3 linked regions of the Neurospora crassa OR74A genome follow. The protein of the gene in region 2 interacts with the protein of the main gene of each other region in a biochemical or structural test. Links are inferred from orthologs where the notes say so. Each region holds a gene or a part of one and is shown on either strand. Other genes may lie near its edges.

What was found.
Region 1: of the proteins of apg-1 (region 2) and NCU08973, one has a biochemical effect on the other in vitro, tested with the Saccharomyces cerevisiae proteins (2 studies listed by BioGRID). The link is inferred for Neurospora crassa OR74A from reciprocal best matches to the Saccharomyces cerevisiae genes ATG1 and YKT6.
Region 3: the proteins of apg-1 (region 2) and ypt-1 form a complex in vitro, tested with the Saccharomyces cerevisiae proteins (2 studies listed by BioGRID). The link is inferred for Neurospora crassa OR74A from reciprocal best matches to the Saccharomyces cerevisiae genes ATG1 and YPT1.

Annotation. Positions count from the first base shown.
Region 1 is NC_026503.1:4,097,355-4,100,499, forward strand, and holds NCU08973 (SNARE protein Ykt6), read right to left. Parts: upstream 2,330-3,145; 5' UTR 1,888-2,329; coding exon 1,867-1,887; intron 1,809-1,866; coding exon 1,643-1,808; intron 1,578-1,642; coding exon 1,288-1,577; intron 1,231-1,287; coding exon 1,111-1,230; 3' UTR 656-1,110; downstream 1-655.
Region 2 is NC_026503.1:2,936,700-2,940,454, forward strand, and holds the start of apg-1 (ATG1 protein), read right to left. Parts: upstream 2,497-3,755; 5' UTR 946-2,496; coding exon 814-945; intron 704-813; coding exon 1-703. UniProt on the Saccharomyces cerevisiae protein: Serine/threonine protein kinase involved in the cytoplasm to vacuole transport (Cvt) and found to be essential in autophagy, where it is required for the formation of autophagosomes.
Region 3 is NC_026502.1:3,521,634-3,525,388, reverse strand, and holds ypt-1 (small GTP-binding protein), read left to right. Parts: upstream 1-1,249; 5' UTR 1,250-1,522; coding exon 1,523-1,533; intron 1,534-1,792; coding exon 1,793-1,916; intron 1,917-1,986; coding exon 1,987-2,034; intron 2,035-2,102; coding exon 2,103-2,330; intron 2,331-2,388; coding exon 2,389-2,589; 3' UTR 2,590-3,470; downstream 3,471-3,755. UniProt on the Saccharomyces cerevisiae protein: The small GTPases Rab are key regulators of intracellular membrane trafficking, from the formation of transport vesicles to their fusion with membranes.

The sequences.
Region 1 (3,145 bases), about 1.2 Mb from region 2:
ACGCCGTATATGTAGCAGTTCTCACTTGTGACATATTCTCTACCTTGACTATAGATGTTCTCGACATGTCAGTCACCTACAAAGACCCCCAATGATGATCCCATGAATTCTAATATGATCTTTGCCGTAAGCCGAATCCCCATTCATTTGAAGCAAAGGCGCGACATCAGGTAGGAGCGCCTCTGCCACCCCGCACATTTACAGTCTCAGTTTCCTATGATGTTGTTCGAACCCCAGCTTGCATCCAACGTCTGTAGTGCACATGAGTAGACGCCGACGGAGCCGATATAAGATCGGCATGGAGGAAGATCCGTACGCAATGCCGCCATCATCGATCAGCTCAATTGATGCTGCTGCGTAGTCTTGTAGTTTGAATCTCAACGTTTCCATTCATATCTTCAAAAGAGTCTTTTTGGCTGGGCTAGCTTGAGAGGGATAACAACCCCTAGAATATACCATAGTGTACATTAGTTACGACTCGCACAGTTTACGCCACTACGGCGTGGCGGACAAGGTCGTCATCACTGCAACCGAATGTCGTGACTGGGGAACCCGACCGCTTCGCTTGTGTCGGCCCATCACATAATCTTTGAGGGCGGATGTCGTATGAAACTAACGGGTATGCAAGAAACGGAGCGAAGATCTCTCAGATAAGTGCGCAGCCTCGGGTTCGACACATAACAAATCTATAACAGGACTACCTACATCTGGTAGTCGAAGTATGTATTTCACAGCTTTAGCGCCAAACAGTGGTCAATCTTTCACAGTTTCGGGTATGTACCACACAACAATGAATATGAGAAAGGGTATATTGCAGGTTGAATTAGAAGTTTAGCATTCTCAGAGCCCACGAAGCCGTCAAGGTAAGTGGCTTTCACATATCCAAAGCGGCTACTGTAAGGCCCTCTGTCGTCAGTAGCCAAACTGCAACCTGCGCGGAAACCAAAAGCTGAATTAGAAGAGACCCCCACCAGTGCCTCGAAGACAACGAGGGGTCAGTCGCTCTTTGTATTTGGGTAGGGGGAACGTTGCGGTCGATGGCATATATCAGTGCGGCTGACTAAAAGCGAAGACAGTCGCGCGTGGTTGGTTGGTATTGATGAACGATCTTTACATAACCAGGCAGCACGAGTTCTGCTTCTTCGCACTCTGGTAGAACATCTTGCTCTGCGCACTCAGGTCGGAACTCTTGGCAACCAGGTCGTCGAGCTTCTCGCCTCGTTGCAAAACCTAAAACTAGGTTAGCATGTTATATAGAGCATTGCTACCCTCTGTGAATGGACATACGCTATCAATTGCCTTGTGTAGGACGATCTTGGTCTCGTCGAGCTCTTGCTGGATCTTTGCAATGCTGCTCGCGTTGTTGGCATCTTGGTAGTCGCGAAGGTACTGCTCGATGGCCGGGAAAGGGATGTCGCCGTCGTTCTTGGCGGCGTTTATCGTGGCAACCGGCTTCTCCGAGAGAAACTGGTCCATGAGCTTGGAAAGGACACTGTGGGCGGCGATAGGAGGGTAGTCCTTGGTGATGACGACACCGCAAACACCCTCGGAGCGGGCATAGGCGTGGATAATATAATCTGTTCGGACACCACCTAGTCAGCTAGGCACATGTATGCGAGCAGAGAGTTCACCATAGACGCACCTTGCTCCTCAACACTTTGCCTCTGGCCAGGCTTCGTCCTCTCTGCGACAGTCCTGCTGATCATGGTCATGAAGTTCTTGTATTGGTCTCGTGTGAACCTGGAGAAGTCGCTAAGCTCGTGGGCACCGCAGAGCTGCACCGCAGGCTGCTCGGTGTTTTTGTAGATCTTGTTCGCGGTCAGCAGGTACCTTCTTGTACCCCCTATGAAAGCAGCCGTATCTTACACCAATGTAGTAGAGCTTCATGGTAGCGGTATTTGAAACGTCCCCGAGGTTTTGTTGTGGTCGTGTTTCAGAGCTTTGGCGCAAATCAGGCGAGTATCGCTGTTGATGGTTCCTGACTGTACACGATGATGTTGATGTCTCGCGTTGGGATAGAGAGAGCCGATGTGATGGCGTGGGGAGCAATGAGGTCTGGAATTGCCGAATCGTAGGGTTCGTCGTTAGATTAGGTTAATGGATTGTAAGTTGCGATGGTTTGGTCAAGGAAGCGCGTCGCTGTGTCGGTCGTGGTTCGGGCTCGACGATTGTCGATGGATTAGGGGGAGGGGTTTGATAGACGACGCGCGATCGATGGCGGCAATGGCGATGCGATGAGGTATCGATGGAATCAAGCTGTTGTTCGAGGCTGAATGGCGATGTGTCGAAGCCAACCACAGCCGTCCGCTTCTTGTTGGGCCAGGCCATCGAGACCCATGCCCTCTGGGCTGGAACAGCACCGTCAGGCGGGCGTCGGCCAAACACCGCCCCGCTAGCACATGTTAGTGCCAATGCTACTATAGGAAGACCTTGTCCTAACACGGGCTCTTGTTGCATCTCCGTGTCCTTTCATTTGCTTTTTGTTCAACCATGATTGACATGTGCAATGACGACTAAGACGACTACTCAGATCCCTACAATCGCACTTGTCAAGAACATCTTCCTGGAACATTGAACAAAAGTTTCCAAGGGGACGGACTGATGATGTGGAAGGTGATTAGAAAGCACAAACAGAACAAGCGGAACGCCGGCCCATGCTTCTAACGAGGTTTCCTGAAGCGAAAAAAGGGTCTTTGGTGTACAGTGTTCACCCGCGAAGCGAATATGTTTGACATGCACTCTGCTCCGAGTCTGGAAGGGATCGCGGACCTCTCAACGAGTATTACCCCTATGAGGCACATAGTATATGATTCCACGACTACCCAGTATAAAATACTATGGAGCAAAACTCCTTCGAGTCAGACGGATGGGATCGATGCCTTGAATGACCTTTTCGAGAACAAAGTCATCGATCCTCTCCACCAGGTCCGGATATTACACCGCGCGGATTTCCACCTCGTGTCGGATCTCGAAGCCTTTCGGGTACATATCATTCATGGTCGCACAAATGTAACTACACACATATGACCATCGAACCGCCTTGCCCACGCGTCTGTACATCACCAATAATGTAAAGCTGGACATGAACTTCTGGCCGAGAGATCGTCAGACTGGTGAAGCTAGAAGTCTTCCTACCAAAAGTTGA
Region 2 (3,755 bases):
GTTCCACATGATTGCTGGCTTTGAAAGGCGGCCTTCCGGTTACCATTTCGTACAATACCGTGCCCACAGACCACAAATCGGCCTTCGCATCGTACTTCTCATATCGCAAAATTTCTGGGGCCATGTAAAGAGGAGAGCCGCACAGTGTCTCGGCGAGGGATGTCGACGGCAGCACACGGGCGAAACCAAAATCGGCAAGCTTCAGCATCGGGGCCGAGGCTAGGCCGGCAGCAGGCGTAAAGGAGTCATAGCTGCCACTCATGATGTGTTTTGCCGTCTTGTTGTTCGCCATCATATGAGGAGAGGGAAGCAGAAGAAGATTCTGGGGCTTGACGTCTCGATGAACGAAATCCCCAGCGCGCAAAAACTGTAATGCGCTCGCCAACTGTTTCAGAAAGTGGCGAGTCACTACCTCATTCAAGCCGGCGTTCGGATAGACGGGGTACTTTCGCGCAAGGTCGTGCGTATAGGGGTTTGTTATGAGCTTGTCTCGCTTCTTGATGAACAGCGACAAGTCACCGAGTTCGCAATACTCCATGATCAGATTGATATGGGTAGAGGATTCAACGCAGTCATGGAGCGCGACAATATGAGGGTGTCGGAGGGTCTTGAGAATTTGGATCTCCCCGTACAGGTTTTCCTTCAGCTTCTTATTTAGGCGGGCGAGCTCAACGGATTTGACAGCAACCAATGCGCCAGTGACCTGTAGGCACGATATGTCAACAAGCAGCCCAGATCACGGTACGGATGTGAGGTCAAGGCCGAATGGGATGCTGAAAGATCGATCAGGGTGAGGCTGCAGAGTACACTAACCTTATGTCGACCTAGATAAACCTTTGCAAAGCTTCCTTTTCCTATCTCTTGGTCAATGACAAAGGATCCAATGGCATCGTAGTTCTGCTTCGTCCTCCTCGAAGACGAGGAAGCAGACGTTCGGTCCGACATGGCTTCCTGGTGTATGTGTTGATGACGGGAAGTCAGTGTAAAGGTAGGTAGCCCAAGGGACTAAACTATTCGGAAGACGTCAACCTCAAGTCTGGCAGGCATGTATACGCCAAATAGTATGGTGCTATCGATCCGGGGTTGAGGTGGTGAGGATGATGAAGAGGAGCTCTAGGCAGAAGCAGAGAAGTTTGTATGAATAAGGCCGATTGCGTTCGGTTATGCAATGATGCAGGTGGAGATGATAGGTCGAGGATGTGTCGAAGCCAAAGATGAAACGGCAAATGCGTGGTCGAGGGAAGAGGTTCGAGTACGAAGTACCTTGATGGTTCTTCGAATCTGTCATGCGCCAGGCTTGGATGGGGATGGCAGATGGACAGCCAGGCGACGATGAGACTGGGTGGAGCCAAGAGAGAGTATACGGTGGTATGGGATGGAAGAGGAGGTGCGAAGGGGGGTCGAGCTCAGTACAATCGTTTCAAAGTCTGGAGGAGTCGGAGAGGACGGGATGCCTAGGTGAGCCCGAACGGGTGGCTGATGGAACCGTCGATGCGAAAAAGAGCGGAAGAACGGCAGAACGAACAGGCAGTCGAGCAGCTGAGGTTGATGGAGGAAACGACGGACGGATGAAGGCTCAGGACACAGTAGAATAGGGTCCAAGCTCCGACACCGACACTGTTGTACCTGGACGTCTGCTATCAGTACGGAAGCGTGGTTGTTGACAGCTGCTCTTCCTCCACCGCGGCAGACTGACGTCCTACGTCAAGTCAATGACTCAGACCCGATCGGCCGCAGGCTGGCCTCGTCCGTATCAATCGGTTCGACAACAGCGAGGGTTGCGGCTGGGTTATATCTAGTTGTGCGATTGATCTGTATAGGATGGCGGATTTGTACTAGGTAGCGTCTATGAGAAACGGGTCGAGAGAGCAATAGGATGACGCGATGGTCGGCGGACCGGCATACGGCAGTTCATGCGGAAGCGGCGAAAGTTGGTATGGTGTCGGGTGTATGGATGTGGTATATGGCGATAGATGTCAAAGACGCGATGGATCCCGCCGATGGCGATCGGAACCTGAGGGTGCGAGACCGGAGACAGCGGAGAGGGAGACCGAAGCTGTGACCTTGACTCGGAGGATGGAGAGATGAACGGGCGATATGGGATGGGGGGAGAGAGACGCAAAGGTAGTTCGGTAGAGCCGGCCGAGGGAGGCAATTCTGAAGGGCCCAAGGGCGGTGCTGGTAGGAGATGTTGCGGATGATGAGTGGATGGGGACCTGACGCAACGGGGGGGAATGGGTGTGGTCCTGTCGTGGGAGTGTCTGGGTGGTCGGTTGGCCGTGGTCGACGGTCGCGGTGATGGGTGATGCGGATCGAGGGACGCCGCAGGAAGGAGTGGGTGGACTGCTGGATGGACAGCGATAAGTGATAGCGCACCAGTACCTCTAAGTGAGGTACCGTATCGGGTACCCAGGCGGTACCGACGTAACAGACACAAGACTGGGGGCGGGCGAGCTGTACAATCGTCAACCTAGGTAGGTACCCAGGGTATTTGTGCCCGGAGCGGAGCACGGGAAAGAGCCGTTGCCCGCAGTTCTTTGGTTTATTAGGTTGGTAGACTATAAACTTTGATATGCGTGATTCCCAAAGGGGGGAAGACAAAGACGTTATCTTCAGTCTCTTCTTGAGAGGAAGTTGAGATTAATGGCAGTGAGTGAATGACGAGAGGAGACGGCAAAAGAGGGACGGGAACCTCGATGGGCAGGGCAGCATCAGCCAGATCCAGGTGGCAGCAGAGGGGGGCAGCGTCCCAAGCGACTTGCGAGTGACTACACCTGGAGCTCGTGATGATGTGCAAGGGGACTGGTCCGTGCAGGTGCATTGGAGTCATGATGCCTCGACATGGTCTGCACCAGTCAATGTAGCTCGTGGGTACCCTGCGGTAGCATTCGAGGCCGTCTGCCCAGCTCTTCCGCCTTTCCAGAAGGGGTCAGGTGGGCCCGGGGTACGCAGACGGTACGAGGGCCCTGTTACGCTGCGAGTGGAGTTGCACGTTGCCGGCCCGCCATTGGCCCCAACTCCCGACGCTACCTAAAACGGCCTGTCCTTCTGTGGTGATAAGGCACTTGCAGCTTGATAACATCACCGCTTGGAGTGACACTGGACCTCGCTGCGAACCTGGAAGCCTTGAGGCGGGTTTGCTTCTCCACGGATAGGCAGCCTGGAAATCTTGAAAATGATTGGAACCTGTTGTCCGAACACGTTGGAAGGAAGCAGTCGTAATTAGGTTATAAAGCTGGGTGGGTTCTTCGTTGTCGGTTATGGGATCTCTTAACGGTCAGTCTCCATGTCGAAACGCGTCATGTTGTTGTTCCTGTCATTTACCGCTTGTCTTGCGTCTTTGCGGGCACCGAACCGAGCACGAGGCAAAATCACGTAGCGTACTGGCACAAAGTCGCAATTGATGGACATGTTCAGTCCCGAGCATCAACCCGTCGCTAATATCGACCTGTCTCCATTTCAAACTGAATACGTACAAGGTAATAGCCCGGCTGCCCGGTAGTAGTGTTCCCAAAGAGTCATCAGCAAGGACCCTCGATTCAAGACTTCGGTTGCTTCTAGACGAGACGGGGCTTGGAATTACTCATTTACTCATTGTTCCAAACAATGACAATATCACCAAAGTCTAATCATCTTTGACGACACAGGCACTCCAAAAGCAATCAACCACACATCCATCCATGGCCACTGTGCGCGTTGTATACACTACTAAGAGTAATAATGACTAGCCAACCGGAACCCAGAATCTCAGGCAG
Region 3 (3,755 bases), on a different chromosome or scaffold from region 2:
GTGGGTGTTTTTAAACACTTTGGTGGTCGGGTACCTGGGCCGACACGAGTGGACTCGCAACGTGGGCTGTCGGAACACGCCGCGCTGAGATGGACAGTGTAAGTATGTATACTATGGGGTGTGTATAGGGCTGGGATCGATGCAAGATAAGGCCGGGTTGAATGCAATTTGCAAGAGTGTGAAAACGCCAAGTGGTTGACTTGTCTCTCTGACGAAGAGTGCCGCACAGCGGGTGGAATGATGTCAGTGACGGATTGGCTCGGATGGTTGACCACAGAGCTGATAAGAGGGTCGGTAATCGGGTGGATCGGCTTCCACTTGCTCACCGGATCTCCCCACGGACAGGGATTCCAATAGTGATGTTTTGTGGGGTTGGATCTTGATCATCAACACTCTATCCATGGACATTGTGTAGGTCAGGAGGCTTTGAGAGCAACCTAGTTGCATACAATGAAACGACATATGCTTCATCGTAATTTTGGTTGTGGTCAAATATCCAGAACCTTGAGGTCTCATTTCGTTCGTACACTTGTTTCACATGAGCCTTATCTTATCGGCATACATATGTAAATGTGCTGGATGATGGAACCTAACTGAAGCTAGAAGCTTCCTAAGATCAGGAGTCCGTTGGACCCGTGAATCAATGTTGCTCCCAAATCCAAAAAAAAGGGAATCATTCATTCATTCATTGATCCATTCATTCATTCATTCATTGATACATTCATTCATTCAATGGAAGCCCATGTGGACACCGCTCAGGTGGCCCAGCCTCCAAGTCCACGATAATAAAGGTAGCCATGGGAACAACGGCCAAAGCACTTTCGAGGTATACCAAAACAAAAAAGTTCCGTAGCCGTACTTTGTTGTCGTCTCTTGGACAGAGAATAACCTGGAATCTCAACCACATTTCATCATCATTGTTTTTTTTTGTCTTTTTTTCTTTTGGGACTTGTTTAGCTGTGAAATGCACATCATCGGGACGACTCCAAGATTGTTAGTGCAATACCGTACATACCGCAACTGAAGTGGGAAAGGGTCAGGAGGCGGCTGCTGCGTCACGTGCATCGTCACCGCTTGAGTCCCCTGTTTTGGATGGATCAGTGTCCCGCCTCTTGGCCGGCGGTCGCCAATCACCCCCCCGCCCGGAGAGTGTGCGGGTGGTGTGGGTGGGCTGCCACTGCCACTCGCTGCCAGCAGTCAGCCAGGACAGCCGAGGGCGCTCTCCCATTCCATCAACTGCCCGTGTTAAGTTGCTCTGCGTGTTGCCCGTTCCAGGTTCTATGCTGCGTGCTGTTGCTGCCTTTCCATCCGCCCACCTACACTAGACTTCTACAATCCTCCACATCATCAATCAACCAACAGACCGACCTCCCACCCCCAACGACCTACACCTAATCTCATTCAGCGAAACCATCCATCTTTCGCTCCACCACCGTCCACCTTACGATACCCGCCTTATTTCTTCGCTGTCCAACTCAACCCAACACCACCACATCGCATAGCGCGTCCCTCGTTGCCCATCATGAACCCTGAGTAGTAGGTTTAATCACGTCTCCTGTTGCCCTTCTCCTGCTCTTCCCAAATCACCGTAAGCCGCCGCCACGCTGCCGCCACCTACAATCATCGCCGCCGCCCGTATCCCATGTTGTTTCCATGACGGATTGCTAACATGTTTAACCTTCAGGGTGCCCACCGCTTCCCCTCTTCACCCGACGTCGTCCCCTTCCCTTTCGCGACTCGACCGATCACCGCCGCCACCACCCCCAAAGAACCCTGCTGACGATGCAACCAGATACGACTACCTCTTCAAGCTCCTCCTCATCGGTGACTCCGGTGTCGGAAAGTCTTGCTTGCTCCTTCGTTTTGCCGACGATACCTACACCGAGTCCTATATCTCCACCATCGGTGTCGACTTTGTACGTCCTGCTATCCTGCCTGCGCAACACATGCGTTCGACCCCCATCAACATGCTGACCGTTTGGCTAGAAAATTCGCACTATCGAGCTTGATGGCAAGACCGTGAAGCTCCAGATCGTAAGCAACCCCCCGGCACTCCTGGACACTTTGGAAATCCAAATTCGCTGACCCAGTCGCTTATTCAGTGGGATACCGCTGGCCAAGAACGTTTCCGTACCATCACCTCTTCCTACTACCGTGGCGCCCACGGCATCTGCGTTGTCTACGATGTCACGGATATGGACTCTTTCAACAACGTGAAGCAATGGCTTCAGGAGATTGACCGTTACGCCACCGAGGGCGTCAACAAGCTCCTCGTCGGCAACAAGAGCGATATGACCGACAAGAAGGTTGTTGAGTACACAGTCGCCAAGGTACACAGCCACCCCTAACCCTCGTGTCTAAGCCACATACTTACACATCAACCAACAGGAGTTCGCCGACAGCCTGGGCATTCCCTTCCTCGAGACCTCCGCCAAGAACGCTAGCAACGTCGAGCAGGCTTTCCTTACCATGGCCCGCCAGATCAAGGAGCGCATGGGCAGCTCCATCGCCACCAACAACACGAAAGCCAGCGTCAACGTCTCCCCCGGCCACGGCGTCTCCAACAACTCTTCCGGCGGCTGCTGCTAAAGCGTCTGTGCCTTGCGGCATTGGTTGCGCTCTTGGCGTTACGGTTTCGCATCGGACGGTGTTTGACGACATGATGATGCGATTGAATGTTACGGCGTGGGCACTGGGTTGAGCTGTGATGCAAATGCTGCTCTAATGGGATCTCAGTTGGGAATGTTTCGGCTCTGCTTCTGTGGTTTTGCGAGGAACATGGGAGGAGACTTGGGGCGGCTTTACATGCTACCTTGGGAATTCATCACACGGTTCCGCGGGCTCTTCTTCGCTTGCCGGGACAGGTTAGGGTGGGGCCTAAGAGGATGGTGATCGAACGCACCGGAAAAGGGAGCTTAATAGTTGGCTCATCACCAGTGTCCGTCACGATTCCTGGCAAAGGGCAAGGGGGGAAAGAGTGGCTGGCTGAGACATGGGATGGGCGGCGGGCTTCTTAGAGAGCTTCCACGACCCTTGATGATGTTGGGGGTGTGTGTGTTGCGTGTGTGTATTTTCGGTCTTGGGCATAACTGAGGACGCGGCACGGTTTTTTTTTTTTTTTTAAACACATTTGTTACTTTTGGTTTTTTTTTTAAGGAGCTAGACTACAGTTTTTGCTATTTTTGTGTTTTGAGGCAAACCCACTGATCTTTCCATGCTACAGCTCTCTCACACATAGAGGAAACCTTTCGCTTCAGAGAGATGACCGGCACATTTACACCAAGAAGAACCACACGTACAGGCACACCCATGCATAAAAAACAAATGCTCACCAGACTTCAAGCCCTTAGCCAGCTCTAGACGTCCTCGATAGTTACTCGCGCTTGATGAAGTCTCTCAAAGTGACGGACTTGGTTATGCTAGTAGAGTTTGATAGTCTAACTGGATCTGTAAACATTGAGATTTTGGACATCCTGCCGGCTGATCCAAAGGCCACGATCAGACTGCTGTGGATAACCCACTCTCCAGGGTCTTGACAGCAGTATATTTATGAGAAGTCCAATCGACGGTCGGTAAATGCCCCTTGTCCCATATCACGGATAGTATAGCCAGCCATATCAGAGTTGAGGATTTGTTGTGTTGAAGCACCCCAATTCAATCAGTAATCGCAGGTATCAACCGCTTCAAGGATTGAAGAGACACTCGGTTTTAAAAGCTTGCTTTACAACTATACCCGTAGCCAGGATCCGACTTTC